2 linked regions of the Diceros bicornis minor genome follow. Each later gene encodes a partner of the first gene's protein in a complex. Links are inferred from orthologs where the notes say so. Each region holds a gene or a part of one and is shown in the gene's direction. Other genes may lie near its edges.

Region 1 (16,025 bases):
TTAGCTCAGGATTAATCTTTCTCACTAAAAAAAAAAAAAAAAAAAAACGAATGAGCTTGGAAGTGTTTACTTGCTTGAATCAAAAGTCTTACTGTTTTCCTGGACCCATTCAAGAGAATTGAGGAGAAAAAAAGTAAAATTTTAAGCCAGAAAAAGGAGAATGGATAATATTAATCACGGATATGCTCTCAGCTTTCCCTCTAACAAATTTGTTTTTAGTAAAGAAAATCGTGGGATATTTTCCCTACAGAATTTGGAAAGTACAGGGAGATTGGAGAAGAGGTTTGGGTGATAAATATTGTTCTACATCAAATTTTCTGCAATCTATTCACTGAAAGATAAAAAATTATATTAAGATGGGAAGAATCCAGAGTTAAAAACAACTTTAAAAATATATGTATTGCAAATAAAAACTACAATGAGATATCACCTCACACCCACTAGAATGGCTATAATTAAAAAGACAAGAAATAACAAGTGTTGGAGAGAATGTGGAGAAAAGGGAACCCTTATACCAGCTGCCAGGAATGCAAACTGGTGCAGCCACTATGGAAAACAGTATGGAGATTCTTCAAAAAATAAGAATAGAACTATCATATGATCCAGGTATTCCACTGCTGGGTATTTATCCATAGAACATGAAAACACAAATGCAAAAAGATATGTGCACCCCTATGTTCATTGCAGCATTATTCACAATAGCCAAGACTTGGAAACAACCTAAGTGTCCATCAATGGATGAATGGATAAAGATGTGGTATATATACAATGAAATACTACTCAGCTATAAAAAAGATGAAATCTTGCCATTTGCAACAATGTGGATGGACAAACATGATGTAGTCTACACAGACATTGAAATATAATGATGTACACCTCAAGTTTATATAATGTTATAAACCAATGTTACCACAATAAAAATAAATAAATAAATAAATAAATAAAATATATGTGTTTTGCTTTCATTGCTCCTATAGAAAAGGTGCCACAGAAAAGAGAAAAAAATAAAGCAAAGTTATATTAATACATCTCTCTGAACCTGCAAATGGATGCTGACGAACTGTAGAATACACAATAGAAAGCAATGAGGAGAAATTACAGCCAAAAAGAACCTAAACATAAGTTAATTCTAGGGTTATAGTAGAGTTCTGTTTTAATTTTATATTAAAAGCAATAAGAACAAAACAAAAATTAAAGAAAAAAATCTATGACAGTTTAATCCCATCCAAAGCTATGTGAATAGGAGTTTATATTTCTTTAAATCTTACGGCATAGCAGTTAAATTCAGGTGATCCATTTCTATGGCCCGGGGTTCCCAGGTTCAGATTACTGGTGTGGACCTATGCAGCACTTATCAAGCCACGCTGTGGTACTTTACTTCCATGTAAAGTAGAGGAAGATGGCACAGATATTAGCCCAGGGCCAATCTTCCCTAGCAAAAAGAGGAGGATTGGCAATGGATGTTAGCTCAGGGCTAATCTTCCTCACAAAACAAAGCAAAACAAAACAAAAAAAAATTGTTTCTTAATATTAATATAAAAATATTGGTATTTAGACAATTTTAAATTATTATTTTACTAAAGGTACTTACAGGGAAAATGACTAGTTTATTGTCTGGCACAAATGCATTAAGGTCTGAGATACTCTGCTCCATGTCTAGATGCATCTAACCATTGGGTCTTTGCTCCTTTCCTGACAATTGGTTGCTACAGAAATGTTTACTGAAAGTCTGATATATTTCATCACTGTGCCATTGCGCTACATTGTGCTACATTGTGCTACATCGTCAAACAGGACCAAAACAGTGCCCTACAGTCAGTCAACAAATATTTATTAAATACTTCCTGTGTGCTAGAGAAGAAAATGAGCAGAACACAGGCACAAGAAAGACGATGGCAAGTACAAGAACTACAGGCTCTTCAGTATTCATGGGGAGCAAAGTGTAAACAGTGACTATCCAAAGAGGAAGCTAGAAGGGTTTGTCCTAAAGGACCATGTATGACAAGAGACTCAACTTTATCCTATAAATTATGGAGAGCCAACAAGCATGATCAGTAGGGCACAGTCAGATTTCCATTTTTAACATCTCATTTTGGCAACAGTGTATAGGGTGAATGTGTAGAGAGAAAGAGAGATCCGTTACGAGCTTACTGTGTAATTCTAAATGAGTGACAGAAGCCTGGACTAGAAGAGTGATAGCAAGAATGAGAGGAAATGTAAAAGGTAGAAACAGCAATCATGGTGATTGAATGTGAGAATAAAATGGGAGTGGGAGCAGTCTATGACTTTATTTAGCAAATATTTATATCATGTTTACATGTGCCAAGGACACTTGTAAGTGCTTTATCATCAACAAGTCATTTAATGCCTATAAAAGCCCTATGAAGGAGACACTCAAGGGAACCCAATTTTATAGATGAAAAAACATTCTATCAGCCATTTAAGTCAGTGGTCAAAGGTCACACTGCTTGTTTGTGGTTAAAATAGGATTTTAACAATAAATGGGGCACCAGAGTTTATGCTCCTAACCACACATAATGCTGCCGAGTTGGAAGTGCTAAGGATGGCTGCCAGGTTTCTGGGATGGGAGACTCAGGGGGTGGTGATGTCATTAAGATAAGTGTATTTGGATAGGAATGTGAAAACACTTTGGACATATGGCATTTCTGGTACCCAAGTGGAAATGTCTACCAAACCCATGGGTATTAGAATCTGAAGATTTAGATAAAGGTCATAGCTGGAGATGTAGATTGGGTCCATCAACATACAGGTTAAAATCAAAGGTGAGTTGAGATTACTTTGGAAGAGCATGTTGAGAAGGTTAGTTGAGAGAATGCTGAAAAACGTCAGTATTTTAAGGAGCAAGAAAAGAAGAAGGAATCATTAAAATAAACAAAAGGGAATGATCAGAGTGGTAAGATAATCAAGAAATGAAGTTGTGGAAAGAGACAGTAAGGAGTATCAGGAAGAGAGATCCTGTAAGATAAGACTAAAAACCATTAGGTTAGCATTATGAAAGTCCCTAACATCCTTAGAAAGAAAGGCCAGATTTTAAAGTGTGGAGGAGTAAATGGGGCTGTGAGAAAATAGAAGGAAGATTGAGGGCAGGGCTTTGTTAGAGATAAAAACACGAATAATGAGCCATTTCTTAATGAAAATGGAATAGTCTGATTGTACTAACACCAAAGTAAGAGGGTCTCCTTGTACAAAGGCAGATGTGTGACCGTTTGAATGCAGAATTAACCTGCTAGAAAAATGCTGCACCATCACTTCCTCTGTGATCCGTGGTGCTTGGAAGTTCAGGGAGGGGAAAAACAGTAAAATTAATCAAGGGAAAAGAAACATAGAGTTATGTGGATTCTTATACAGATTAATAAGGATTTTTTTTTTTTGGTAAATCATTGAAGGCTATGGTGCAAAGAAGTGACTTACTCAAGGAGCAATTCTTAGGAAGATTTATAGCACTGATATATATGTTCAATGGATTGATAGGAAATGAAAGCAGAAAATATTTATGATAGTGTAAATTAGTGGTTCTGAAACTGTAGTCCATGACCCCAGGGATCCATGAGGTTGAAACTATTTTCATAATAATTCTAGAAAGTTATATGGCTTTTTCACTGTATTGAAATTTGCATTAATGATGCAAAAAGAAGTGGGGGGAAAACTGCCAGCAACTTAGCAGGAATCAAGCAGTGACACCAAACTGTGCTAGTAGTCACTGTGCTCTTCACAGAAAAGAAAATAAAGTTTCACTTTTAAAATGTCATTGATGGGTCAGTAACAATTATTAATTTTATTAAATCTTGACCCTTGAGTATATACTTTTTTGACATTCCATATGATGAAATGGGAAGTACACACAAAGCACTTCTGCCTCACACCAAAGTAGGATGGTTGTCTCTCGAGGAAAAACTCTTGCGTGATTGTTTTAGTTGTGAACTGAACTTTTCCATGGAATACTATTTTTACTTCAAGAATGATTGAAAGATAAACTGTATGTATTCAGAATTGCATATTTGTAGAAAATGAAGGAAGAGAGCCTGTCACTTCAAGGAAAACTGAAAGTTATTCATTTATTGCCAATGATGAAATTCAATCTTTCAAGTAAAATTGGAAATTGGAAAACTTTTGTCTTCCTTTATCAATTTGACATCATCTCAATATTTGAAGAACTTTCCTATAATATCAGTGGTGATATTAATAAATGTGATTTTTTGATATTGTATAATGGAATGTTTAAGCATTTGGAAAATTGGCATAAGGAAATATTTTCCAAGTGATCAAGGCATAATGCTGCACAACCATGCATGAGTAGCAGATTCTTTCAAAGTGGAAGATAGACCAATGGATTTTAATGTAACAGAGCACAAAAAAATTAACTGACATGATTTCAATGTCCACATTCCAACTAACCTTTAAGAAATAAGCACTTGTTAAGTTTGGGTTGATTATCAAAGAAAACTGTCTACGATTATCTGCAAAGACCACTAAAATACTCTTGCCTATTCCAACCGTATTGCAAGGCCATATTTTCTTTATATACTTCAACCAAACAACATGTTACAACTGATTGAATGCAAAAGCAGATATGAGAATCCAAATATCTTCTTCTAAACCAGACGTTAAAAATCATTGCATAGTGTAAAACGAAGCCACTCTTCTCATTAAATATTTTCTAATTTTAGAAAATATACAGTTTTTTCCCTAAAAAATTTATGTTGACATATAATAGGTTTATTGTTATTTCAAATGAATTGATAAAGACATGTTACTAAATTTTTCTGTTTCAATTTCTAAGTGATAAATTGTGATAAAGATAACCCACATAAACAAAAGTTCTTTGAATCCTCAATAATTTTTAAATGTGTAAAAAGTCCTGAGACCAAAAATTCTGACAACTGTTCCTCTAAATATAAAGTGATAAGAGACTGACTAGAGAAATGGCAGTCCTCTATAACTGAAAACTGAAGAGCAAGATTCAAATCGAAATGAGGTTCCAGATTTTAAGAAAGATATTTACACTGATGATAAACTAGCTGCTTAAATGAATTATTTGAAAGAGTTGGACTCATAGACACCACCTCAGGCCCTTAAAAGAGTCAGGTCCTTCAAGGTCAATTCTATGCTATTAAATATAGTGCAATATTTCTGATCATTATTCTTGCTAATCTCCAGGCCACATAAAACAAGATATAAAAAGCCAAAAGACAAAGGATAAATTCTTTCATATACAAATGGTCCTGCAACACTGCTTTGAAGTTCATTCTCATATTCTTATATTACAGAGGAGGAAACCAAGGATCAGGAAACACGAGTAATTTTAGCTAAGTCACAGGGAAGTAAATAAAGAGTATGGATTTTGAGCTGCTTTTTAATTTAAAGTCCAGGACTTTTGCCCACTCTATCCCAGAAGTCTCTCTCTTAGATTGATCAGGTTGAGGTAGTTGTGAAGTTTATTTTTCCTTTTCTGTTTTATTTTTACCATGTAAATAAGAGTACCTATTCCATTTCACTGGATGTTTGTGCAACACTAAAGTGATCAAGGATAATATTGCATCATAATGAATTTACATTCTGATTAGTTATACACATTTAGATGTTAGATAACATAGAAAATGTCTGTAAACAAATACATAAAATTTTCTTCCAATGGAACTCTTCCAATGTAAAAATGATGGTCCCTTTTTTCCTGTGCTTCAAACCACTATAATAGCTTTATGCATAGTATTTATGTCCGTATTCCTCATTAGTAGCTGCTTATCGTGTGTTCCATTAACAGCTACTCTCAAAAAAATCAGGACTAAGCTATTAAAATAAGTCTGGGATGATGACAATTACATGAATAACTAAAGCCTATATATTTTGAAATACAAGGAAGAAGAGTGACTTTTAGCACTTGCCTGGGATTCATTCTAGCTATTATTAAATGCCTTGTTTTGAAGAAAATATTTTAATGAAAAAATGTTGTATAATATGGCTTTTATAGCAATGTTAAACGTTGACTGATAGATAAGTTTTTCTTTCTTCAAATAGAAAATCTAGGCTATGCAAAAAATATCAACAAAAAGGCAGATATTCCTATTAATCAGATAACATACTAAGGCTCAAGGAAACTAAAGGTTATATGGTTACAATCCATGTTATATAAAATAATTAGGTTTGTAATAAATTGATTCATTTATTTACAGCCCATCTCCTTTCACAGGAGACTTGAGCTTTCACAGTAGACTTGAGACAACTCTGGTAGGAAATATAATACTATGGAAGCTGGAATTTGAGGTCCTTTTATACTATATGTTAAGTGGTATTAATTTGCTATTTTTATAACAACTCTTCTCTGTGTTTCTCAAAGCTATCTTAAAATATTTGAAAGAGATTAAATTTGTTCTGCATTTTCCCAAGTTGTATATTTAATAGATGGGAGATACTGAGATGTAAAGGTTAATACCATTTAAAGAAAGACTTGCAATATCTAGAAAATCCTACAATTAAAATAGACATAATAGTTATCCTTAATGAAACTTGAGAGAGAGTAGTAGAAAAGGAAAACATCAAATTTCAATTGAAAAATATATGGTTGAAGCACTAAGTTCAAATTCCTACTGCATAGGATGATTACATTTTTTATGAAATAGAATGAAAAACAAATAATGTTTCCAGAGAAAGTCAATGGGAATTGAGTTGCTCTTTAACAGTAATTCCAGAAGAGTCACTTGGCCAGTCCATGTGTCTATACATTTAAATCTTGGCAGGTTAACAGAGCGTACTGAGTTAAAAAGGACAAAACGTTGTCAGTGAAGTATTCTTAAACATATTTTGTTTTCAAGCTGTGCCATTTAAAAATCACCCAGATGATGTTATTGTCTTAGTCAGTTTGGGTTGCTATAACAAAATACCATAAACTGAGTGGCTGATAAGGAACAGAAATTTATTTCTTACAGTTCTAGAGGCTGAAAGTCTGAGATGAGGGCGCTGGCATGGTCAGGTTCTTGTAAGGGCCCCCTTCTGGGTTGCAGACTGCCAGACTGCTGTCTTCTCATTGTACCCTCAGGTGGCAGAAAGAGAGCTAGAGAGTTCTCTGGAATTTCTTTTATCAGAGCAATAATTTCATTCATTAAGAGTCCACACTCATGACCTAATTACCTCCCAATGACCCCATCTTCTAATCCCATCACACCGAGCGTTAGAATTTCAACCTGTGAATTTGGGGCGGATACAAACATTCAGTCCATAGCATTTATGAAGCATACACTAATTATCTTTCAATTGAATTAAAATATTATATATGTACATATACATGTATATTTCATACATAGAGAGAGTAAGAGGGAGGGAGTCTACTATGTATTAAGTACTATGTAGTGAGCAAGCCTGCCCTCGGGAACATTATTGTAGAGTATATAAAGCTGGTAAGGTAAATAAAATATATGAGGTAGGAAGTACGTATACAAAAGATGACAGAAACACCATTCCAAAAGATCTCATTGAATTTGAATCATGAACTGGATCTAACTAAGAAGATGTAATTTAAAAATAAAAAATTTATAGTGTTGTACTCAGATCTGTCTAGAATAATTATAAATTTATAGGAAAGGAAAAACATGACTCATCAGGTATAAGAAGTAAGCTTCTGTGTTCAAAAACAATTGTATCTACCTTTTTTAACTCCAGCGCCTGGTCCAAAGCAGATCTTTAATAAATATTTCTTGAACAGACTTGGATCATGTTTAGGGAATTTTGTCAATATTAAACCTATGGAGAGTCAAGAGAGCAGTGTGACTTAAAAAAAAAAAAGTGAATGGGACCCTTCGATACCTGTATCAGCAGAAAGAGGAAGTTTATAATCTTGCTCAGTTTTTATTGGTCAGGCCAAACTTAGGGCACTGTTTTTAGCCCTGGAGCTGTACCTTAAGAGCAGATATACAAACTATAATGTGAATAGAAAAGAGATACTGAAAAAACTCAAAACTACATCTTATAAGAAGCAGCCGAAGGAAACTAATGTTTAACTTGTAGAAGAGACTACTCAATTATTTTGAAATATATGAAGTGTAATAACAACAGTTATCATTTATTAAACAACTACCATTTCATTGTGTATCTCATTTAATCCTGCTAACAGACATATGAGGTATTATTAACATTTTTTTAATGATAAGAAAACTGTCACTCAGTGAGGTTAAAGTAGCATATCCAAACTCATGCAGCTAAAAAGTTACAAATCTAAGATTCACGAAATGATTTGACTCCAAGGCCAGGTCTTATTACATTGTGCCTATTTATCTTTCACATGAAGTAAGCTTGTACTGGTTCTGTGTGTCCTCAAGAGACTGAATAATGGCAGACAGATTTCAGTTCAACGTGAGTGAGTTGATGTATTAGTTCATAGGAGAATATGTGGTAAGGCATTTTTATTAGTCTCTAGGAGATCTCTATAACATTTTATTGCTGAAATTAAACCCTTTAATGTAAAAGGATTGAAATAATACTGAACATTGGCAAAATAACCTATGATTAGTGGAGTTTACCTATGAGTTATCTGTTTTCAAGAAAATGGTAAAAATAGTATTGGAATTAAATGTTCCTTTCAAGCTCCCTAACCCACCCTTCTCCCTGCTCCCCATGAGTGTAACTTTCTACAACCAATTGGGGATATTTAATGCTAATGTTTGTTGTTAAAAGATATATACATATACAAATATACACCTGTACAGAAATGAGAATTACTTTAGAATTAATGTAAATTTTAACAAAAAAAATCTTAATCCTGGTTGATTTACAAATTTATTTCTAAAATAGAAGCATTTGTGGACTTAGTAGAGAGGTATCAAATTTTAAAATGTGCCCATATTCCTCAACCTTGTGTGGGCCATTCCACACAAGATATCTATGTAGTTCCTCCTGGAATCTCTACACTAGAAAACAGGCTGAAATAATGCAAATGTTATTTGATTTTGACAATATTCTACTGAGAAGTACATGTCCACATAGGTAGTCTGGAGATAAAAGAGATAATTAATGATTCCAACTGGATCTATGAGATTTAAGATGTGGAGGATCATAATTATCTTTCGCTGACTTTCCTGGATGCCACAAATCTCTGATTTCTGTAACCAGTCCTTTAGCCTCTTCCCCATCCAGATAGAAATCAGACACAACTAGAGCTTCTACTCTAGGAGAAATTGGGGAATATGGAGTAAAGGCAATAGGTTTCTTCCACAAAAGTTTGTTCTCATTTCTTTTTCAGAGAAAAGCTCTCTCTTGTTTCAGGCAGGTTTGAAGGGTTGGAAATTCTCATTTAGTAATATGAAAAACACGGTTACCTTATTGTGGATGTGCGGGACTGAGGCAAGGAGGACTAAAGAAGAGGAGTTTGTACCCCCTGCCCCTAATGATTGCGGTAGGAAGTAGAGACGGAAGAGCATTGGGATGTTAGAGTTGTCCCGGCTGCTTCAAGCCAACGTCCTTACTGTCATATTATACAGAGAAAACGACACTGGAAAATAGAGTGATGTCAGACCCCTTTTCTATGCTTTACTATTGACAAAAACTCTCTGTCTCTCTCCCCACCCTTCCTTTTAACTCCCTTCCCCATTCTGCCCCTCCTTAGAGGTGTTTGCACGGACGAGTGCCGAGTGGGGAGACCAACTCTTTGGATTGCTTTGCGCAAAATCCACCCCTTCTCATTCCTCCCTCCCCTCCAGCCTCCGGATCCCGCACAGCCCTCCCTCCCTTCCCCTCAGCGGTTTGGGGTTGGGGATGTGTCTCCGAACTACTAAGGTGGGAGGGGGCTACAAGCAGAGGATAATGTCAGAGGCTCAGCTCTCCTCTTCTGCTCCTCTCTGGCTCCGCCAGGGTTGGTCTCTGTAAGAAACAGCAGGAGCTGTAGCAGCGGCAAGAGGAAGAGGCTGAGGCGCGTGGAACGAGAAAAGTCCGGGTGCTCGCGGTTACCTCCCAACGTGGTCGCAGCCGGCCGTCAGCACCATGGACAGCAGCGCCGTCCCCACAAATGCCAGCAATTGCACTGATCCCTTCACGCACTCTTCAAGTTGCTCCCCAGCACCTAGCTCCGGTTCCTGGGTCAACTTCTCCCACGTAGATGCCAACCTGTCCGACCCATGCGGTCCGAACCGTACCGAGCTGGGCGGGAGCGACAGCCTGTGCCCTCCGACCGGCAGTCCTTCCATGATCACGGCCATCACCATCATGGCCCTCTACTCCATCGTGTGCGTGGTGGGTCTCTTCGGAAACTTCCTGGTCATGTATGTGATTGTCAGGTAAGGAAGGCGCCAGGGCTCCGAACGGAGATTTCGGCGGCTAATGGGGGCAAAAAGGGACACCTGAGTCCCCAGGCAGAGTGTTTGGCGGGAGGATAAGAGAAGGGAGGCAAACAGTGGAGAATGTGGGAGCGACAGTGGATAGAGTGGTTGCTGTTTGAGTGCAAAAATCTACTTTTCTGTTTTTCCCTCCATTGATAAAGAAAGAATAAAAAATTTCAAGAACAGAGAAGTTGCTTGGTAAAAGCTGTAAAGCTCTGGCAAAAAAAAAAAAATCTCTGTCTTAGAGCTGGCTTATACTGAGTCAAGAGGGCTCTTGGGCACAGAGTCCCACAGTCCCTTTGGCAGAGCTGAGGAAATACTAATTTGTGAGTAATGGAAGAGGAATTCTAGTTCGTTTTCCCTAATTGGAGGGCCAGGTCTCCTTCTCAGTTCTTTTCAGAGATGAACCTTGGCAACTTTCCTACTACTGCTGGTTTCTGTGTGCTTGGCTGCACCACCACCCCATCCCTCCTCTTCCCTTGTCACAGTCGCCTATACCCCCCTCTTCCTTCCGGCCTCAGGCCACACTCATAGAGGAAGTTTTCCTGCTGTCTCTCCACAGTAAATAATGTTACTTTGTTGTAACAAACATGACAGTTGTATTGCCTAGACCAGTTGGCAGTTGGCAGCCGCAGATCTACTAGAGGAGTCACAAACTGAATCTGGAATAGGTAGGGTGGTTCAAGAGAACTACAGGATGTGTCTGTTTTTCCATGTCTCTGAAAGTGGGAATCAGTTAGAAGCAATGAAAAGCAGCATAATTCTGGATTATAAACAATTATACAGGAAGCTGTAATGTCGCTCTGGAAAAAATAAAAGTGTTTTTTATCCAGTAAAATTATTTCAGAAGAGTTTGCAGCCCACTTTCTGTTTACCCAGATACTCCAAGTTTCTTTGGCAAAGAGTGTGCGAGCTCTCAATATTAAATGAGATTGATGTAGATTGTGCTAGGGTTGATGTGTATATTAAGTCCTACATGTTAACATGGAATATTATGTATTTACTTTTGTTAAAATAGACAAACATTTTAACACTTTAAAATGGCTCCTGATTTGGAGTTTTCTTCCTACTAGGGATTCCACGTATGTAGTGAACGTGGCATTTTCATATTTATCTACATTTGCTTCATCTATTCAGCAATATTGCAGGTTTCAGTGGAGCTCTTTGATCATTAACAATAATTTTCCCCATTATGCTTTCATTATCAAGGTACCGCAAGTTGCTTGTAATTGATTCTGTCTACTTATATATCTGATTTCTTTAATTAACGATTGTCAAAGAGTAAAACTAATTTCCCTGATGTGTAAGATAAGAAGTGTCTCTGAGAAAAGAGCACCACCTATTGAGGAAAAGGCTAACAACAGAAAAAAATAATCTAGGAAGAGAATCAAGGAAGAATTTATTTTTAAAAACATTTACTTGATGTAATCCAATACAAAGATGCACATCAAAGATAAAAACCAAGACTCATTCTGCAGTTATGACAATAAAAATCATAATTAAAGGCCTGCCTTATGAAGGGAAAATATGTTTCTCTTTTTTCCTAAGAAAATTCTTAGAATCATAAGCTTATAGGTCTAGAAGGGACCTTAGACATTATCTATGGTAGGTGAGTAAACTGAGGCATGGAAGATATAAACGATCTCTCCAAGAACAAATAGTTCATTAGTTCAATACCACTGAATCTCTCTTAGCCAATATAATCTGTTTATCAGAATGGCAAATCACGATTTGAGTTAATTCAACTAAAAGATTGACAGTGTAGGTTTAGTTAGCAGAAATAATGTGGAAATAATCATTTATCCCAAATTTACTTCTGGAATCTTTAAGAATAAAAGATAAAGAGAAATTACAAAAGCATCTAGAAATCCTGTCCTCTGAAGCATAATCTTTCATTCTCTTTTATTGCTTCTCTTGGTGTTTTACTTCCTTATTTTTCATCCCTCTGGTTTGTAGTTTTCTATAAAGAGAGAGCCGGTAGAGAACCAACCAGCTGTGAAATAAGCAGATTGGTCTTATTCTCGTGTTTAAGAGATTGTTAGTTGGGTGAGTTTGTTTTAAAACATTACCTCTGACCTCTTGATGACTTGGAGAAGGACGGTGACACTGCCTCTTACTGAGAACGTGATATTATTCTTTACTTCTCCGTCCTGCAAGTTCTAACAAAACGTGGTACAATTTGAAAGGTCACCCCAAACACCCACCTGTGGGAAGTTGGGTGTTTAATTCCAAGGTCAGGTAACCCTCTGGGAACATGACTATGAAACAGAAAAATAGACAGCTCAGAGACCAATGAAGTAACGAGGAAAGCATCTAGGGATTGAAGAACGTATGTCTATTTAGCTGAGAATATTTAACTAGACTGTCTCCGGGCTGTGGTGTTTTCACTACCAAACGACCAGTTAGGGATATTAGTGCCTCTGTAAAAAGATGAGTATAATGCTGCGTTTATTAAAGTATTGAGGTGAAATACTCACTTTCTGCTATTGTTTAAAATTCAACAAATACTTTTGAATGGTCAAGTAGTTACAGCTTTCTAACCAGATTAAGGTAATAATGATTTGAATGTCTTAACATATGGAGTGAATCATGAGGCTCAGATGACTATGGCGGCAAAAATAACTGGTAAATACAGATGCTGTGATTAATGCTCTTCTGTTCTATGTCTCAACTCCATCATCATCATATCTTCATCAACAACATTATTAAATCGTGTAACATAAGTAGAATTCTTACATGGTGCTATTCTGAGGAACATAGGGGAGGAAAAGAGATACTGTCATATGATCTAAAGATTTAAAATCCAGATGTTAAACAATAGAAATGTTTTAACTATCACCTGAAATTTTTTTGGTTTTAAAGAAAAAAATTACTTGCAGGATAATAATACTATAAAAATTACCACAAAATTTGCATTCTGGAAAATATGGTGATAAAAATATTTTAAAATGTAGCAATCACTTAAAATGGGATGATAGCATATTATTGTCATGAATGTTTTAAGGGAAAAAATAAATCAAAGTAATACACAGTTATAGCCACCAGGAATGTTTTAGCTATTGAAAATATTTGACCAAAGTATAGAATTATACTGTAAATACTAATATAGTATTTATTACTACATAACTGTAAAAACTAATATAGTCCCAGGTGTGTTTGTTTTGTGAGTTTTTTTTTCTCCATGTAGTCATAACATGGTCTATGAAGACACTGTTGAAAAATGTAGAGGGTTAGAAACTGTTAGATCTCTGTGGGCTGTTTAAACCATCCTTCCAAGTAAAGTTCCAATGAAGAGGGCCAATGATATTGCCTTCATTTTTAAGACTATTTCTTAACTTGACTAGATAAATTCTTAATATGACTAGTTATCAGAGAAGAGCATTTAAATATATGCAAGATGTTATTGTCATTTTTTTTTCATTGAAAAGTACTTCTGATTTTAAAACAAGTCCTATGAGCTTATACTTTCTATATATACTAAAGATTTGATTCAGATTTAAACTGCAAAATGATCAGTCAGGACTGATTGGAACAGAAGTACAGCTTTTTTACTTAATTCAGATGTAAGTAGCTGAGAAAATAAGGAATAATGTTTTATCTAACTTAAGGATATATATGTAGGTATTTATACATATGTGTATACAAATACATATATACATACAAATTAATTTGAATGCATATGTCACTGAATATGGTCACTAGTAATTTTCAGGAAATAAAAAAGATAATAATTTATTTAGAAAGCTCAAATACTAATAATGCTTACTTCCTTTTTATAAAAACTATGAAATATCCTAGTTAGAGTATGGATTTAGAGGGAAAAACCCTAACTAATGAGAATCTGTCCTGAATATAATGGTTTACATTGAAACATAAGAATTTAATAGTATGCCTTTCACTTCACAATGGAAAGCTTCTAGTATCGTCTATTACAATTTGAACTTTAACTGCTATTTCCCACAAAGGTGCTAATTCTGTCGGCAACATCTGTTCCTCAGCATGTCCTGAGAACACTAAGTTGCTTTTCTTTTTCTCTGTTGTAAGCTGTGTCTCTCTCATTTGCACAAAGTTATCATTGAGTTTCTTGTTCTTCTCTCCTTTCTTTCTTGAAAGAATGAGCTATCTTATACATTATGAAATATTTTCAACATAAAGGAACATATACAGAATAAAATGTCTTCACCTTTAAAAACTATATATATAATTACAATAATTATGTATACTTCTAGTAATTATTTTATTTATATTTATATTACATATATAAATATATTTATTTATATATACATGTATAATAAATAATTATATATAATTTATATATTATATGTAATGTATAATACAATATATAAAAAATATATAATATATATAAGAAACCTGATTTCTTCTCCCATTATATTCCTTTCCCAGAGACTATCACTATTATAAATTTGGTGGTTATTATTCACATGCATATTTTTAAACTCTTATCTCAAATGAGTGTTTCCATAAACAAAATACCAGCTTTTAAGCATGTTCTTCAAACTTTATATATTAAATATTTATATTTTACATTAATGTTATACAAATAATTTCACTATTTTCCCAGAGTTGTTCTAGTTCTAGCAGATCAATAATAGAAACCAGATGTCAAACAAAACAACATAAAAATAAACAAAAACTTTGGCCACTAACTCTCCTGAATATTTTTAACTTATCACTAAATCTGTGTTAAAAATTATTGTAAAGATTTTTTTTCAAGTGTTTTCCCAAACTATTTCCATTAATATTTATACACAATATTCAGAAAAAAATTTTCAGCAATTGCTGCAACAAGTAAATCTGTTCATGAATATAACCCAGACATAATTTCTCTACTTCTAAGAAGGAAATAAAAATAATTGGTTTCTGATTACCTCAAGATGTCATTCAAATGATAAATTCTGACAATATTTACTTTGGGATTTTGAACATCTTGAAAAATCCTTTACACATAAAAATTGAAAATGTTATTTCTTCTAGTATTCCACTTCAGGTATTAATTAAAATCAAGTTGTTTCAGTCAGCAGGAAAAGATAAACTCATTTTAATAAGTAATATAAAACACTATGACATTTTAAAATATATTGATGATAAATACCAAGACTAAATGTTGTGTGAAATTTTAAGATATGAGAATTTCAAATCTTTAACCCTCACAAAGTTTAATGTATATTTAAGTGAAATAATGATTGATGACAGTAGTCTCCAAAGTTGTTTTTAGGTGTAGACACTTATTTCAAGAACTTGGAAGCCAATATACAAAGCAGATCAAAGAAGAGTTGTTCAGAACTAATCATGTGGGGGGGCCCAAGAGCACTGCTCAACTGCCTTCTCTGTCCCTCTCTCCATTGCTGTCCCTAAGGCACTTCCGTGGAATTTCTAGGGCTCCCTCAGGCAATACTTTAAAACAGTGGTTTTCGTATTATTTCAGACTCTTCTTGTATCTTACCTCTCGTCCTTCAGCTCACCGTTTACTTCAGTGATTGTTGTGGCAATCAGTTTCGCCCAGATACAGCTTGGTAACATTTCACCTTACCTGCGTCTATATCCCTTGCCTTCTGCTCTGGAGCTTCTCTGACTCCACCGGCCTCCACAGGAATCAGCCTGAGGAAATGTGAGGAAATTGCCCCCCCATGGAACAACCTTTAACTAGGGAAATGGGAGCCTGTGGACAAATGGTCCCCTCTG
Region 2 (16,526 bases), on another chromosome or scaffold:
TCCTCTGATTGTTCTCCAGACAACAGCCAGAGCCATTGTTTAAAGGAATTCTACTGGATCCTGTCACTCCTTTGCTTAAAATCCAGTAATGGTTTCCCTGTGTTCCTGGCATAAAATTGTCGTCATCTAACGACCTTTACAGCCTCCAAGACCCATCCCGCATGTCCCTCCATTGCAAGGGCTGCTCCCCACTCTTCCTCCTACTCCAGCAGCTCCTGCAACCCTCTTATCTTCTCTGCCTCAGGGCCTTTGCATTCTCTGTTCCTTCTGCTAAGAAGCTTTTCCCCTCCCCTCTCCTGCTCTGTTTCTTTCATTGTACTTATCACAATTCATAATTATTTGTTGACTATTTTATTATCAGTTTCCCTAGAGCTGAAGTCCCCTTGGGAGCACAGACCTGGTCTGTCCCGGCACACATTCGGGTCAATAAACATTTGTTGAGGGAATGAATGATAGAACCAAATGTGGGCACTCCAAGCTGGCACTTTCCCTGCCACACCTGGTGGCCTCCCAGTATACCCTGTGTGGGCGCCCACTGGCCCTGGCAGAGAACAGGTTGAACAGTAGCTGCCTCAAAGGCAACATGTCTCAGCGATTCCCCACGCCCAACCCATCCCCCTGTCCACTCCTCCCAGTCCGCTCCCCAGCCCCACACTGAAATCCTGCCGACTTCTTTCTCTCTCCGCTCTCCCCAGCATCCAGTTGGACCCCAAGCCCTGGCCAGGCCCTCAGCTTGTCCCTTCCTCTCCAGTCTCTCTCTCTACCTTGCCCTCCATTCCCTCCTCCAGTCCTTGGGCAGAGACCCCCTCCCGAAACCCTGGTCACCCCATCCGCCCTGTTGTGGGCTTCCCACAGGTCCTCCTCTCTGCAGGGAGGGCTGGTCTGCCTGGGGCGGGGCCGGATCCTGCTCCCTGCTCTGCACCCAGAGGCTCCAAATCCGCTTCGCTCTCTCCTCAGGAAGCCCCTCTCCTCAGCATCCATGGTACATCGGGCAGGTAGCCCCCCATGAGCCCGCCTGTAGAAGGACACTCAGTGTCCTCTCTTCTTATCTCTGAAAGAGCAAGTGACTGGAAGGCAAGAAGCCTGTAGTGACTTAGGTCTGGATCATGGGGAGCCAGAGCCACCCCAAAGCTGCCCCTGGTCCCTGGGCTGCTGCAACCAGGGAGGGCTGAGTCCCTCCTCTCCCATCCCCACCTCCCCGTTAGACACACACATAAAGGGGCAGATGTGGGGCCGTTTCTAATTCAGACACCATGTGAGGAGGGGAAGCACTCTCTGTTTTAGGTTCATACATCCTACAGAGGAAGTTTGGAGAGGGTTTTAGAGAATCACGAGCTTCTGTAAACTGAGGCTTAAACGGGCTCCCTTCCTCATTCACTCCCCCCCTCCAATCCACTATCTGCAAATATTTCTTGAGCACCAATTCTGTGCCAGCACGTTGACAGGAACTTTTCACACAGTGACCATGGGAGCCGTTCCCTTGCAGACAAGGGGCACCAGCTGAGCCGGCTGAGGCCCCTCTGACCCAGACAGCAGCAGGAATGAAGTTCTCCCTCCCACGGGGGCCCCGGCTGGTCCCCACGAGCCCTGAGGAGGGACAGCTGTTCTGACACGAGGCAGGGCTGGCAGCCACCGCTTGTCCACGGGGACTGTGGAGAGAGAGTGAAGAAGGGTGGACAGGAGGGAGCTGGGATTCCTCCCTGCTCATCCCCACTCTGCCCCTCAAGGCTTGAGTTCGTGCTTGTTCCAGCACAGTCTGCCAGACGCAGGCACGTGGCAGCCTCGTCCCTAAGTCTTCTCTTCTCCCAGTGACATGGCCCCCATTGCCCAGCCCGAGCGCCTGGAGGCTGCGGGCAAGGCCACTCTCCTTGTGCGCCCCCCTCCCCTTGCTGGGCTCTCAGCCACCGCAACCTTGTTGTTGTCCTCCCAGCCCTTCTTTCTCCCCTGCGGTGGCGCCTCTACACCTGTCTTTGTAACGCACTCACACCCTGGTGACATTGCTTTTCCAATTAAACCTTCTAAGGTGAAAAGCCAGGATGACGAGGGCAGCCAGGTGTCAGTGCATCAGCCCAGCCCAGGAATCCTCACACTCGGGTCTCCAAACAGACTCCTCAGCTATCCTATCCAAAGACCCCGTGTCTGCTCCTGCCTCCATCCTTCTAGCCCTCTTTCCCTCATTCCCTTTTTCCCTCCCCGTCATCCTCCCACCCCGTCATCCTCCCTCCCTCCACTCTAGGCTGGGCTCTCCTGGGCCAGCACTTCCATAGTCATAAGGATAAAGGCTAGCACTGTGTAGAACTAACTAGAGGCCAGGTCCTGCTCTGAGATCTTTACACGTATTACCTCATTTCTTCCGTATGACAGCCACATGGGTTGGTGCAATCATTTCCCTCATTTCACAGATGGGACAACCAAGTACAGAGATGTTTGGAATTGGCTCAGAGTCACACAGCGAGGCAGTGGTTGAGTGGGGTTAGGACCAGGCAGTCTGGCTCCAGAGCTGTGCTCTTAACCATGACACTGCATTGCGCCACAGCACAGCCATGTCAACCTCAGACAGGGGAGTGTCCATGACTCCATCCCCTACACTGATGCCACATCCTTAGTATTTCATGAACCTGCCTCTGCCTCATCTCCCCACTCACTGCTCCCACTCCTGGCTGGACTGGCCTCCAGGCCCTGGAGCAGAGCACTGGGCTTCTGGTCATCCCTTGCTGTCTCCAGGCTCCCTCCGCTCTGATCATCCTCCTCAGTGCTACAGAAATCTGGTCCGATTTCTCCTCTGACTCAATCCCTAAATGGTCCTCTACCTTCTCCTCTCTTGCCTCTGTTTCCAGTCTTTTCTTTCTCCCTCCACCACAGGCATCCAGCATTCCATGAATGTGACAGGTTTTCTCCTGCCTTGAGCCCTTTGCACATGCTGTTCCATCTGCCTGGAATGCCTTTCCTCTCTTCATCCTGGTGACCTGTTGTATCAGGGCTCAGCACAGCACAGCATCCCCTTCTCTGAGCAGCCCTTGCTGACCATCCACCACCCTCTTTCCTTGGCAGAGCAAATCGCCTCCAGATGCAAGCTTGGGAGGCCTGAGCCTATGTGTAAGAAGTCTAGCTCCCCTAAAACTGCCATGCTGAAGAGATCACATGGCAAGACTGCATAGAGATAGCGAGACGTGTCTGAGGAGCCCCAAATCTTCTTGCCCCCAGCTGTTTGAGTCTTCCCAGCCCAGGAGCCAGTCATGTGAGTGAGTGACTTCAGATAATTGCAGACCCCAGGCTTCAAGCTGCCCAGGCTGATGCCACGTGGGGCAGGGACGTGCTGGTCCTGCCAAACCTTGACCATACTGCAGATCCATGAGAAAAATAAACACTGTTGTTTTAAACCGCTACATTTTGGGGGTGGTTTGTAATATAGCATTAAATAACCAGAACAAGCATTATTAACACTTTGGTATCTTTTAACATCTATCTCTATTTCTATCTCTATCTCTATGTAGATTTTATCTTATCATACTTTCTCCACTTAACAGCAGATAGTGGTCATTTTTTATGTCTAGAACTAAATATCTACATTATTATCTTGAATGGCTGCAGACTATTCCATTGTATGGCTTTACCATATTTTTATAACTATACCCTACTACAGACGTTTAGTTTATTTCAATTTATTGCTACTATAAACAATGTTGTAGGAATAGTCTTGAACCGCATTTAGTGTAACTGCTAGATAATTTCCTCAGGATAATGGGAAATCCTGGGTTAAAAGGTAAAAGCTTCAGTACAGACAGAAGCCCACTCACTGTCCCATGGCTTATCCTACAAGTCTATCTGTGTCTGCACCTCCTTTTCCTCCTGCACCCCTGTTATGGAAGAGGCAAGTCCTCCACTGTTTGAAGGCGAGGTTCTTCCTCTGGATCCCATCTTGCTTCTCCTTAAGACTTGGATTATTTGGTTTTCCCCACTCTCATCTGCAGCATCAATTTCTCCCTCTCTACTGAATTATTCCCATCAGCATGCAACCATGCTCTAGTACCTTTCTGCTATCTTTATCCTTGATCCTATATTACCCTCCACCATTGCTCCACGTTCACTGTTAGATTTCTAGAAAGAGTTGTTTTTATGATGGGGAGTAGATAAATCCACAAAAATAATGGGGAGATTTTAAAAACATACTTCTGTCAGTAAGTAAAAGAATAAAATGATAAATAATCAGAAAGGATATAGGTATAGAGAGGATATAGAATATTTGAGCAACCATAGAACACATTCTTTTGAAGTGCATATGAAACATTAATCAAAATGGACCAAAAGTTCATCCATTAAGCAGCAGCCCCCCCAGATTTCAAAGGACTAAAATCAAATAGAGCATGTCGTCTGGCCACAGGGGAGTTAGGCTAAGAATTAGTTTCAAAACAACACTAGAAAATCTCCACTGTTTGGAAGTTAAACAGAACACTTCCCAATAACCCATAGGTCAATCAAGACACCTCAATGAAAATAAGAAGATATTTTAAACCAAATGTTAATAAAAATATGACATATCAAAACTTGTGGGACACATCTAAAACCATTCTTAGAAAGGAATTTATACTCATAAATACATATATCAAAAAGAATAAAGGTTGAGTATCAATTGTCTAAGTAAAAGCATTGATATAATGTCCAACTCAAGAGGATAAAAAAAGAATTGTTATAATAACAGTAGAAATTTCAGAAATAAAAAAAGTGTACGTGCAATAGAGAAAAATCAACAAAAGCAAAATTGATTCTTTAAAAACACTAATAAGATTGATAAACTCCTAAGAAAACTAATCAAGAAAAAAGAGAAGACATAAATCACCCAATATCAGAGATGAAAGGGGACCATAACTACAGATACCATACACACTAAGAAGATAATAAGAAGATATAATAAACAATTTTAAGCCAGTAAATTTAAAAATTTACATGAAATGAACAAATTCGTATAAATACACATCTCACTAAAACTGACACAAGAAGAAATAGACAATTAGAATAGTGCCATGCAAGTAACTGAATCTGTAATTTGAAACCATTCAACAAAGAAACAACCTTAAAGACCTAGATGGCATCACTGATAAATCATGCTAAACATTTAGGGAAGAGATAAACTCCATTATGCACAAATTCTTCTACTAAACTATAAAAAATGCGGGTGGGGTGGGAGTGGAGAGGAGAGATTTCCAACTTGTTTCATGAGGACAGCATAATTTTGATACCAAAATCTGACGAGAATTCTACAAGAAAGGAAAATTACAGGCCAATCTCATAAATGGATGCAAAAATCTTAAATAAAATATTAGCAATTTGAACGCAGTGCTATATAAAGATAACACATCATAAACTGGGCTCAATCCAGGAATGCATGGTAGGTGTAGCACTAAAAATCAACAATATCACTCACCACATTATCAGAATAAAGGGGAAAAATCGTATTATTAGCCCAGACAATCAGAGGCACCTGTTCCAGGCTTTCAAAGAGGAGCTAGTGGTACAGGGCAGCAAGGGCAGTGGTCAGTCCTTTCTGGTGGCATCAGCCAAAGTGGGAATGGCAACCTCTCACTTTTTTTTTATTCTGGGGATAGAAGTGACATCTATGTCCAATGCCTGTGGTGTGACTGTCACTTGTGGCCTCTTGTTCCCAGTAGTGGTCTAGTTTTCTTTCTCATTGGATCCAATCAATGACCTGGTTTTGGCCATGATTCCAGCCACATTTTGTCCCTTCCCATTTTTGGGTCCTGGCTCTCCAACCTGCCCACTGACTCTAAACGTGGCTCGATGGCCTTTCGGTTCTGCTGCATGTGATTAAGAACTGGGCTGATGGAGGAGGACAGAAGCTGGGTCAGTATGGAGTTTTCCTGGTCTGGCTTTTCTGCTACTGCCAGTTGCCTCTGGAAGTTATAAAAATAATACAAAGAAAAATAAGATAAATCCCCATCTGATTTAGAGGGTTCACATGCCTGGCAGTGGGAGGGGCAGGCATGCATGGAAGAGGGAAGATGGAAGACAGAGCGGAATTTGTTCTAGCAATGAAGGCTACGTGCACACACGAGATGGGAATGGGGTTCTCTGGAGAACAGAGAAAGTTGTGTTTCACGTCCCAGGTAGGACAAAGCAGCCAAGAAGGGCTTCAGAGAACAGGTGATGATAAAGAGCCAAATCTTAGTGCAAGAGCCCAATTTTCCTGGGTGGCTGGAGAGAAGAAGGGTGTTTTAGTTGGGCGGGTAACAAAGAGGTGGAGGCTTGAGAAAATAGTGTTCATGGGGGTGGGAATGTTGGGGATGGTGGAAGTGCCGGGACACAAGATGGGGAGGTGGGAGATGACCCTGGAAAGAGGCCTAGGCCAGGTGATAAAGTACCTTGTTTATTGGTAAGGAGCCTGGACCTCCCCTGTGGCCCAAAAGGAAAGGATTGCTGAATATAAAGCCAATGTCACCAACCAAAAATTCTCAAGGGAGTGTTGGAGTCCAAAAGAGCATCTGATGGGGAGTAAAGTTCCTGCAATTGGCAGATTAAACAAGCACCTTGATTTGAAGTTCAGTTTGGTTCCAACACTCTCTCTCACCCCCATGACTCCTCACAACTTGCTTTTGCTTCTTTCCTCCGGGCTGAGGGAGAGTCTCTTCCATTGCAGGTTTGAGTGCTGTCCTCTCCTCCCTGTCCTGACAGTTGGGACTAGAGCCAAGCCAGAGCTCCAAGGCCAGGCTTGGAGAAGATTGAGAGTCCCCAGACCACTCTGCCAGCTCATTGCCACAGGGATGGATCAGAGGCGAGAGGGAAAGTACTTCAGCTGCTCTTCACAGAGCACTCCCTACCGTGTTAATATTCTAAGGTTAACAGCACCTTTTCCTTGGGGTTTGGGGCACAGGAAGGAGCCTGCCCTGGACTAAGCCCTCGGGGAGCAGGTCCCAGGGGGGCAGTGCAACTCACCGTCATGCCCCCGGAAGGCAACCTATTCTGAGCCTCAGGTGAGTGAGTGACTCTTCACCTTCTCTGCCCCCGGTTTCCCCAACCTGGAACAGGGGGATTGTGAGTCCCGGTTACTTCTTCACATCAGTTTCCAAAAGTTGGGGAAATCTGAGGCATCACAGACGTACTGCCTCTGCGGTGATATTTACCTCTAAATGCCAATGAGGCAGATGCCAGCCCAAGCGCGCACACAGGTAACTTCACCCTCTTCTCAACGACCTCAGCAGGCACGCCAGGCCTGCGCCACACTGGGGTGCTAAGCCTCCCGCTCGTCCTAACTGGAGACCCAACACCGTCCTTAATTAAGTTCTTTCCTGAAGGTGCCAGGTGCGCCCTTTAGCCGGACAGTGCTAATTCCAGCCTCCGGGGGCAGAGATCCAGCCTCCTTTCCAGGCACGTCTGCCCTTGCGCTCAACCCCTACCTGGAAACCCCCCTCACCATGGCCCCCCTTCCCATGGACGGGGGAGTTGCTTGTTACGCTGCCCTGCCGGGAAGTTCTCGTTTAGCGCCCCACACGGGCGAGCCCCGTAGGTATATAAAGACAGAAGAGAGCGACCAGGACCAGACGGCGGCGAAGGAGGAGAAAGAGCGGAAGAAAAGTGACCGAGAGAGGCCGCCGAGCATCCTTGCCCCGGCGCAGCGGGAGTCGCCCAGAGAGCAGCCTCCCCGCGGCAGGTAAGGGCGCCCCGGCGCGGAACCTAGCTCTCCCCCCGGGACCCCCTGCCCTGGGGCCTCGGGATGCTCTCGTCCAGCTCCCATAGCGGACTCGAGGCGCCGTTGCCTCGCTTCGGTCCTGAGCTCTTTGAAAACTTTCTGCACTGAGTGCGGCGTGGGAAGCCGCCCGCAGCGGAGCGGCGAGGGCCAGCCTCCGGCCGGTGAGCGAACGGCTGCCACGCTGGAGATGGTGCTTCCCGGAGCTGGCGGCCGCGCCTCCTCCGGGGAGTGGGGCTGCTAGAACCCCTGAGACTCCTACCGCCTTCTGGGGAGAGCCCGGTCTTTTGGCTCCTCTTCCTCTCTATTTCCTGGGGAGGTGTCACTTCTTAAAGGACACCATATAACTCTGGCGCAAATTAACGTTGGAAAGGGGGCAGGAGAGAAAAGGCTAAAAGTCACAATAAACTCCCTGCATTCCAGACTTTTTGGGATTCAGACCCCAGAATCCTCGTTTTTCTGCCCACCTTAGAGCACTCGACGTGGCTGCGCCACGGTAGCGACACGGGTCTCCCAGCTGGGGCAAAAAAGAGGACGCCCAGTCGGGAACTGTCCAAGGTCCTGAAACGCCATGTCGGTGCCCTCCATAGGACTGCAGAGTGCACTTCCCATCCCGCAGACCCTAGGCCGCAGGGCGGCAGCAGCCGTTTGAGCTGACAGAGGCTCAGGCAAGGGGGGGTCTCCAGGGAAGAAGGGAGAGTCTGCAGGGCATTTGGATCCCCCAAATTCTTCGGTATAAGTGGGAAGGTGGTTGTTCTCAAGGAATGGCTGGAAGGAGCCAAGGAAAGTAAAAGCGTGCATTTGTTTTGTCAACTGTGAAGATATGCACAGATTATGGCTTATTTAAGGAGTTAATATTCCTTTGACACTTTTGTTTTAGGACTTGATGCACGTGTATCATGGTGCAAGGACAAAACCCCGTGCCTCTGCTCCTCTAATCTTTACAGAAGGGCATGGCCAGTGAGCAATGTGAGAGTAACAAACAAAATGTTTTGTTTAGCTCATAGAGAATTCACCTACACATATGAAGTTCTAATAAATGTAGTTGTATTATAAAGTTAATGTCAAGATTAACAAATTACAAATTTCTATTTGTTTTTCTAAGGCTTTCAATTATTGGGTTGTAACACTCTCCTTACCCTCAAAAAGCACAGCTTTTGACATTTCCTGGTTACATTACTGCTTTAAAAAAAGGACACAAGGTAATATCTCTTCATTGTAGAAAAATAGAAAATACACAAAAGCAAAAAGAAAACAAGTTGCTTTCAGGAAACTATCTAACTTTTTAGCCAGAGAATGGAGCTCTGAGAGGGTGGGGAGTGAGAATGTTACCATGTTGTGCAACACAGCCAATGCAGCAGAAGAAGAGGAAATGCTCTCTGGGGCTTTTCAGAAAGCCCTGAACACATGAGGTAGGTTTTTAGAAAAAGATCATTCTGGAATGGCCAATCTTGAGGAGAATTTAAATATAGTTGAGAGAACTGTCAGACCTGTATGATTCTACTTCTTTCTCTACTAATATGTTCTTTTACACTTGCCCACAGTGATATATAACTACCATTTTTCTGCTTCTCTTGTAAATCTGGGCATTTTTCTGTGCTGTGTGGTCTCAGAGCTTTAATGTAAATTGCCTTGTCCACCAAGTTCAGGCTTCATACTTGAACTGGAGCATCAAAAGGCTACAACAGGAGCAGCCTGTCCCCCATCATGACTGGACATTACGATTTGACCAGTGCTCTCTCAGTTGCCCCTTCAGCCTGAGATACTGATGGGCCAGCTCACTGGCTGCCAGTGCCATCTAATGGCTGCTCTGAAAATAGGCAGTGCCTGGCAACCATTCAGAAGGGAGCCCTGAGCTGGCTCAGCTTTTGGGGAAAGGAGTGGGGGTGTGGCAGAGAGAAGGAAGTGGCTTCCTGAAGTAGACAATGAGAACCAAGGAGAGCTTTCACTTCTAAAGCCTTCCCTATAAAAAAGATTTGGCCCATGCCTCCACAAATGCGAGATTTCTTTAAGTAAACATTTTAAAATGCAAATGTCCACTAGGAGAGACAATTAGTCACCTACATCTTAATGTAAATTACTTTTATCATCTAATTAGGTTTCTTCCTAACAGCTGGTTGAGAAGATCTTCTAAAATCCAAAATGATTGTGGGGTTGGTGGCGAGCTCATGACAGAACTCAGGGTCACTTCAGGGGGCTGACCTGGGTGAGGGGGGACATGGCAGCATGAGAGCTAGAGGGCTGGGGAAAGGGTTGGGCACAGGGGGCAAAGGGCAGCATTGGCTCCACTCTTTACCGCATCTTGACCTCTTGGCCTCAGCATCTGCCCAGAGGTACTTCCTGACTTCTCCACAAGGGGAAGTAGTTCCCTTCTGCTCTGTCTGTCCATCTCCTTCCCTTCTACACCTACAGCATCTTCAAGTCCAGCTATTTAGGACTACATTTGAGAGACTCAGAGAACAAGAGGTCTGACATGTAATATGTTCAGAAGATGAGCCAGTTTTAAAAGAATGGGGGTGTGCTTTACAAGTAAATCTCTCCAAAGATGCCGGGGTGTGGGAGATAGTGATCATTTGTGGGGTTTGTGTACAGGACATCAAATTGGGTTGGCTGTGGTTTTGGCTAAGTTGGCCAGAGGTTTTATTTGTGCTTATGCAAACCTACTATTCATAGGAAATAAGAGTTTCTGAGGAATGATAGGATCCTGGTGGAGGCGGAGGGAAAAGACCATCGAGCAGGAGCTTCAGAATCCTTTGTCTTTCCCAAGTTACTCCTTGGTTCTGGAGTGTTAGAACTATAGCTTCATGTAGGTGGTGAAATAGGAAAGCTCCGTGCTAGTAAAAGGAGAAATTAGCCTCACCTTGTCATGAACACCCAAGTTATTGTCTCTCTCTGGGCCTCAGTTTCCCCATCTCTTAAACAACGGGCTGGACCAAATGACCCCCAAAATAGCTTCCAGCCCTATCTCCTTTCAGATCTGATTTTTAACAGGAGATAAAGGGGAAATTCCACATAGTTCACCCAGGTCCCACTCCCCTCCGCTCTACCACAACTCACACCACCACTCTGCACACCAACCTTCTCCTTGAACTGCTCCTGTCCTCAAAAAGCCTTGAGCTCCACAAATGAGTGTGTTGTTAATGTTGGCTCACAGTCCTTCCTGGTGAGTGACCAACATTGTTCTGCTCCTTGCAGGGGTCCCACCAATCTTGTTTGCCTCCGCAGAGCCTCAGCCTGCCTGCAAGATGCCGAGACAACGCGGCAGCCGCTCGGGGGCTCTGATGCTGGCCCTGCTGCTTCAGGCCTCCGTGGAAGTGCGTGGCTGGTGCCTGGAGACCAGCCAGTGTCAGGACCTCACCACGGAAAGTAACCTGCTGGTATGTGGGCCATGGCTGCCATCTTGTTTGGGCATCAGGTGGGACTGGGGCTGGGGTTGGGACAGCACAAAAGAAAGGGGTTTGGATTCATTCCCAGAGATACTCAACCCAGGGCAGGAACAGATCTCTAGGGTGAAGTCAGAATTGGGTCAAGGAGGGGAGGAAGCAGCTTCAGGAAGCAGGACCAGATGGGTCTGGTCCACAATTTTGGCTTGATTATCTTTGCTTCCTGCCCTGTCTCCTTGTATGGGGACACTACTCCATTTAAGCTATTTAGAGATAGTGCCATAAAAATAATAATAACAATACTAATAACAGTAATAACAATAATTGCTCCCTCAATTGATCCTACATTTTCAATCTTTTAGCCTCCAAATTATTCGTTTTTAAATAACCTCATATCACTTGCCATCTGCATTCCACTTTTCTTCCCTTTTTATCTACTACCAGTTACAACCCCAGCGAGGTAGTACCACAAATCATCTCTAAAGGGAGAAGGAAAAACCCAGGTGCCATTTTCCTCTAACTGGTGCCCAATGGCTCATGCTTCTTCTGGAGGACTGACCTCCTGCAGCCTTTCCAGAAGCATGTAAAGGCCCGTTGTGCCAGGTTGGAACTCCCGCGAGGTTACCACAGGGTGTGTGTGTGTGTGTGTGTATTGGGAGGCATAAATGAGAAATGATACCAAGCAAGGACTAAAAGACACACTGCTGGTGTTGGTGAGCGCGTTCCACCCTGCTGCCAGCACCTGCGTAGTGAAGATGGAACGCACATCACTACCTTCTGTGTTTTGTCAATGGAGAAGCTGAGTTAAGGTGAAGAGAGACTTTCTCAAAAACACAGAGCAGTTTGCATGTGGAATACAAAATAGAAACAATGATCTCAGGGAATTCTGTGAGTTCTAGTTCAGAGAGATGCAAGAGGCTCTTGACTGGAGACACCCACTGCACAACGTCTCCTGAGAGCTCACCAGGGAAAGAGCACAGCCATCATCAGAGCCCATGGGTTCTAGTCTCAGTCCTGTGAGCTACGGAACCTTGCCAAGGTCCTTTCACCTCTCTGAGCTCTCCTGTGTCCAGGGGAGAGGAGTATGAAATACTTCTTATTTTCCACTGTTAATATTCTGCAGTGTTAGAATTCTAAGTTCCCAGAGTATGAAATTCCCAACTCAAGAGTGGGTGGGATGCTTCTGTTTCCTCCTTTGCAGTCTTGAGTAATTGAAAACTCAAGGCTGCAGCGTATAGGTCATTTTCCTAAGCAAATGTTTACCACAGCTGAGTTGTCTAGTTACAGAGAGCAGAGACACGCACTCCATGACCCGTGCAATGGAAATAATCCTGGCTTTCTATCCCTCCCTCCAGTCAGAATGAGATGACAGGGAAGCGAAACCCCCTCCCAAAGCTCACTGATTGGGGAAAGTACAGGATCAGCTCAGAAGTCTTGAAAGAACCAGAGAAAGTGCCAGATGGACATGGGAAAGTTTTGAAGCATGGTACAAGGAGATAGCTGGGGTAGGGCATGGGGTAGGTTTGCAGATCGCTGGGGTAGGGTTGAGGCATTATTGAAAATACAGGCCCTAGAAGCCAGACTTGTACTTCTCCCACCTGGGGAGATTCTACCCCAAATTTCAGCCCAATGTCCTTCCCAGACTCAAACTGAACCAAATATATTTATTCAATATTCATTAAGTCCCAACGACTAACACCCACCCGCCATTTATTAATTCCTATATATCAGACGTATAACGGGAAGACGGTGACCCTGCTCGCAAAAGCTATGGGACAAGTAAACCAAGGAGTGGCATGGGGTTTTTGCTGCAGCTGCCAGGCAGAAGTGTCAAGGGGTACAGGGACAAAGCAGGCGATGCCCAAGCTGAGTCTCAGGTGTCCGTGGGGGCCAAGAGGACGAGGAGGGCAGGCGTCCCCGGGAGCGAGGGCCGCACGTGGTGACGGTCGCGGGGCACTGGAGGCGCGGAGGGCGCAGGCGCAGCGCGGAGGGCGTGCTGGGGGGGCTGCCGGCGCGCGGCCCTCACTCGCCCGGCTCTCCCGCAGGCGTGCATCCGGGCCTGCAGGCCCGACCCCTCGGCCGAGACGCCCGTGTTCCCCGGCAACGGCGACGAGCAGCCGCCGACCGAGAACCCCCGGAAGTACGTCATGGGCCACTTCCGCTGGGACCGCTTCGGCCGCCGGAACAGCAGCGGCGGCGGCGGCGCGGGCCAGAAGCGCGAGGAGGAGGCGGTGGTGCTGGTGGGCCGCCCCGCGCCCCGCGGCGATGGCGGCGAGCCGGGCCCGCGCGAGGGCAAGCGCTCCTACTCCATGGAGCACTTCCGCTGGGGCAAGCCGGTGGGCAAGAAGCGGCGCCCGGTGAAGGTGTACCCCAACGGCGCCGAGGACGAGTCGGCCGAGGCCTTCCCCTTGGAGTTCAAGCGGGAGCTGGCCGGGGAGCGGCCCGAGCCCGCGGCGGCCCCGGCCGGCCTGGAGTACAGCCTGGTGGCGGAGGCCGAGGCGGCCGAGAAGAAGGACGAGGGGCCCTATAAGATGGAGCACTTCCGCTGGGGCAGCCCGCCCAAGGACAAGCGCTACGGCGGCTTCATGAGCTCCGAGAAGAGCCAGACGCCCCTGGTGACGCTGTTCAAAAACGCCATCAAGAACGCCCACAAGAAGGGCCAGTGAGGGCGCAGCGGGCGAGGGGCTTCTCTCCCCAGGGAGTCGGCCCTACGCCCCGCTCCTCGCCTGCCTCCTGCCGCCTCGCAGCCTGGGTGTGCTGTTTGCTCGGGCCGTGATAGCGGCAGATGCTCGGCCTCTTCCCGCCGTGTGTAGTTAGGAAATAAAACCCTTCCAGTTTCACATCTGACTCTGACTTTGAATGTCGACTGGGTGAATAAAGTAAAAATACATATCCATCAGATAAAGAGCAAAAGATATCGGAGGAGAGACATAATGGTTTCCGTGTGACCGAGTGGTAGTCTGTTACACAGGACATAGTAGGAAGGGAAAGAATGTACTCTCCCCCATAGATGGGTCTTCAAGGGGCCAAATAGTTTGGGTGATGGCTCAGGGTGGCTACATTCCCCACCTTCCACTGGGTGGGGAGAGACTGCTCAGCTAGCAGATGCGTCAAAAGGCAGGATTCCTACAGGAGTGACCCTGGCTTCTCTGTCCAACTCCAAGAGCCAGCCCGACACTGATGAAGCCCACCCGCAGCTGGGAGGGCTCTCTGGGCTGTGAGGTGGGAAGCTGTGGTAATGCCTCCCTGTAGCCGTAGCTATCTGTGAGCTTAGGCAAGCCTCTGAATGAAGTCCAAGATTCAGTTCTCTCATCCACCCCACACTAGCCCTAGTGTGAGGGCTATTGTGAGGATTAATGAGAAAATGGGTGTGATCTTTTTATGACTGAGAAGCTAAGTGTGCGAGCTGAGGGTTGGTATTAGTTCAGATTTGACTGCACTCCCAGGCTACTCACAAATATTTTCAAACACATGGTCTCGCCCACACAGATACACAGCCATGGAGACACATCTGTATAAATACAACACAATATACACAGATGCTTCTTCCAGTCCCTGAGGCTCGAGCCTTGAGGTCCTCTATTCCCCCTCCCCCGCCCCCCCCAGCCCACCGGGCTCTCTCTCAAGCTCTCTCCTCCCCATGTTGCCCAGCCTCAGCCCTTCTTCAGCCTTAGTGCTCCGCGCTCAGGCCTCGACTATCAGAACAGCTTCTTAACCGACTGGTCTCCTTGTCTCCAGTTGCTCCCCTCCCCAACCCGTTGTACACAAATTCCTCATATGAAGGTATACAAAATCTTGCTCTCCCCACAGTCCCTGGCTCAAGAACCAAAAAAGTTACCCTACCCCAATTTTCCATCAATTCCAAACTACGTGGCATGGCATGCAGGGCCCTTATCAATGAAGTTCACTTTTCTTACCAAACCCATGTCCCATGTTTCTACCACTGATCTTCTCACTCTTGTCTCATCCTCCTTCACCTCTGCCTGGAATTCCCCACCTTCTCCCACCATTGTCAATGTCACTGTTTTTTCAACATGAGCCCAGGCTCGAGTCCACTTCCACTGGGAAATCTGTGATCTCTTCCAGCTGAGCCTGCTCATAGTCAGTGTTTCTGTGGGCAGCCCCCCCAGTCCCCTGCTGGAGGACACACAGTTTCTTGCTGCATGTATGTCTTGTGCTCTCCTCTCTGGGAAACTCTAAGCTCCACAAGGGCAGAGGCCAGGGGCTGTGTTTCTTTTATACGTCCCTATGGTGTTTTCACAATGCTGGGGTCATGGGTTGGCAGCCACACACGTTGATAATTCAAAAGAGACTCACAGATACTTATATACACAGAGATGCACACGTACATGTCAACTGCATTAGACACACCAGTGGACGGTATAGATCAAAGCCAGCTGGGAAACATCTGTGTATGGCCTTACATATATACCCCCATATCTTGATGCTCTAGAAGTTCAAAATTAAAGAAAACTGGAGTGCACCCTGGGAAATCCTGATGTAAGGGGAATCAGAAAGCCAGATTCCTAAGATAAAGTCTCCCCCAATGTGGGTGACATGAACTGGGGCTAGATTCCAGTCACTTTAGTGAAGAAATGGCCCAGGCCTTCCCGTCAAAGGATGCTCCCATGCTGGGAATCCTGGGCCTCAAGTTTACATCTTGGTAGCATCCCTTCCCTACCCTCCTTCCTTTTGAGGCAAGCAAAGTGATGGCAGGTGGGGGTGGCTAAATGTCAGCAGTAAATGTTGGTATTTTCAGATCCTGTTTGCATCTCAAAAAACCATTTACTTTAAAGAAATAAAATAGAGAACCATGTGGTGACAACATTAACATTTATTTGAAAAGGGCATCATGAAGGCTCATTGGGAAATCACGAGTGATCTTGCTAAGAGTCCGTCTTCCTACACTCTCCCCGCTACTATTTCCCCTTCCTTAAAATAAAACTAATTTGGTTCAACGAGTTTCAAACACAGAAAACAGCCACAGGCACTAGTTCTGCACTCCCATATAAATACATCAGCTATTATATACACACATTGTCAACTATGAACTATATTACACACACATGCACGCACACGGGCACACACACTCTCAGCCAGGTCATGAAGGTCTAAGTGGACACAGACACGTTACAGTGTATGGGCTGCAGCATTTGTGGATTTACAGCTCTGCACTCCACAGGCCGGAATCAACAGTCATGGAGGAAGAGCTTAAAGGGGAAGGTGACAGGCTGAGGCCCCCAGGTTCCCTGAAGGAGAAAAGACCTGGTAACCTGGCTGGAGCTAAAAGAGAGCACACAGAACTGCCTTCTGGCCCCCACAGGCCACAGAGCCCCTCCCACAGCCCCCGTGTCTTCTTCCCACTTCCCCAGCCGGCCAGGCCTACTGTGACCATCCTTCTGCAGTCTTCAGACCTAGGCCAGACTTGGGATAAGGGGTCACTT

Evidence for each region.
Region 2: the proteins of OPRM1 (region 1) and POMC are in contact, whole or in part, in a cryo-EM structure (PDB 8F7Q), measured with the Homo sapiens proteins. The link is inferred for Diceros bicornis minor from reciprocal best matches to the Homo sapiens genes OPRM1 and POMC. Residues at the interface, in NP_000905.3 of Homo sapiens: Ser66, Met67, Ala70, Ile71, Met74, Gln126, Asn129, Tyr130, Leu131, Met132, Gly133, Trp135, Val145, Ile146, Asp149, Tyr150, Met153, Arg213, Ile217, Asp218, Cys219, Thr220, Glu231, Lys235, Val238, Ile298, Val302, Lys305, Trp320, Ile324; in NP_000930.1 of Homo sapiens: Tyr237, Gly238, Gly239, Phe240, Met241, Thr242, Ser243, Glu244, Lys245, Thr248, Pro249, Leu250, Val251, Leu253.

The regions. Positions count from the first base shown.
Region 1 is NC_080778.1:15,033,818-15,049,842, reverse strand, and holds the start of OPRM1 (mu-type opioid receptor), read left to right. Parts: upstream 1-9,751; 5' UTR 9,752-9,987; coding exon 9,988-10,280; intron 10,281-16,025. UniProt on the Homo sapiens protein: Receptor for endogenous opioids such as beta-endorphin and endomorphin. Receptor for natural and synthetic opioids including morphine, heroin, DAMGO, fentanyl, etorphine, buprenorphin and methadone.
Region 2 is NC_080751.1:57,379,856-57,396,381, forward strand, and holds POMC (pro-opiomelanocortin), read left to right. Parts: upstream 1-10,944; coding exon 10,945-11,076; intron 11,077-13,127; coding exon 13,128-13,748; 3' UTR 13,749-14,133; downstream 14,134-16,526.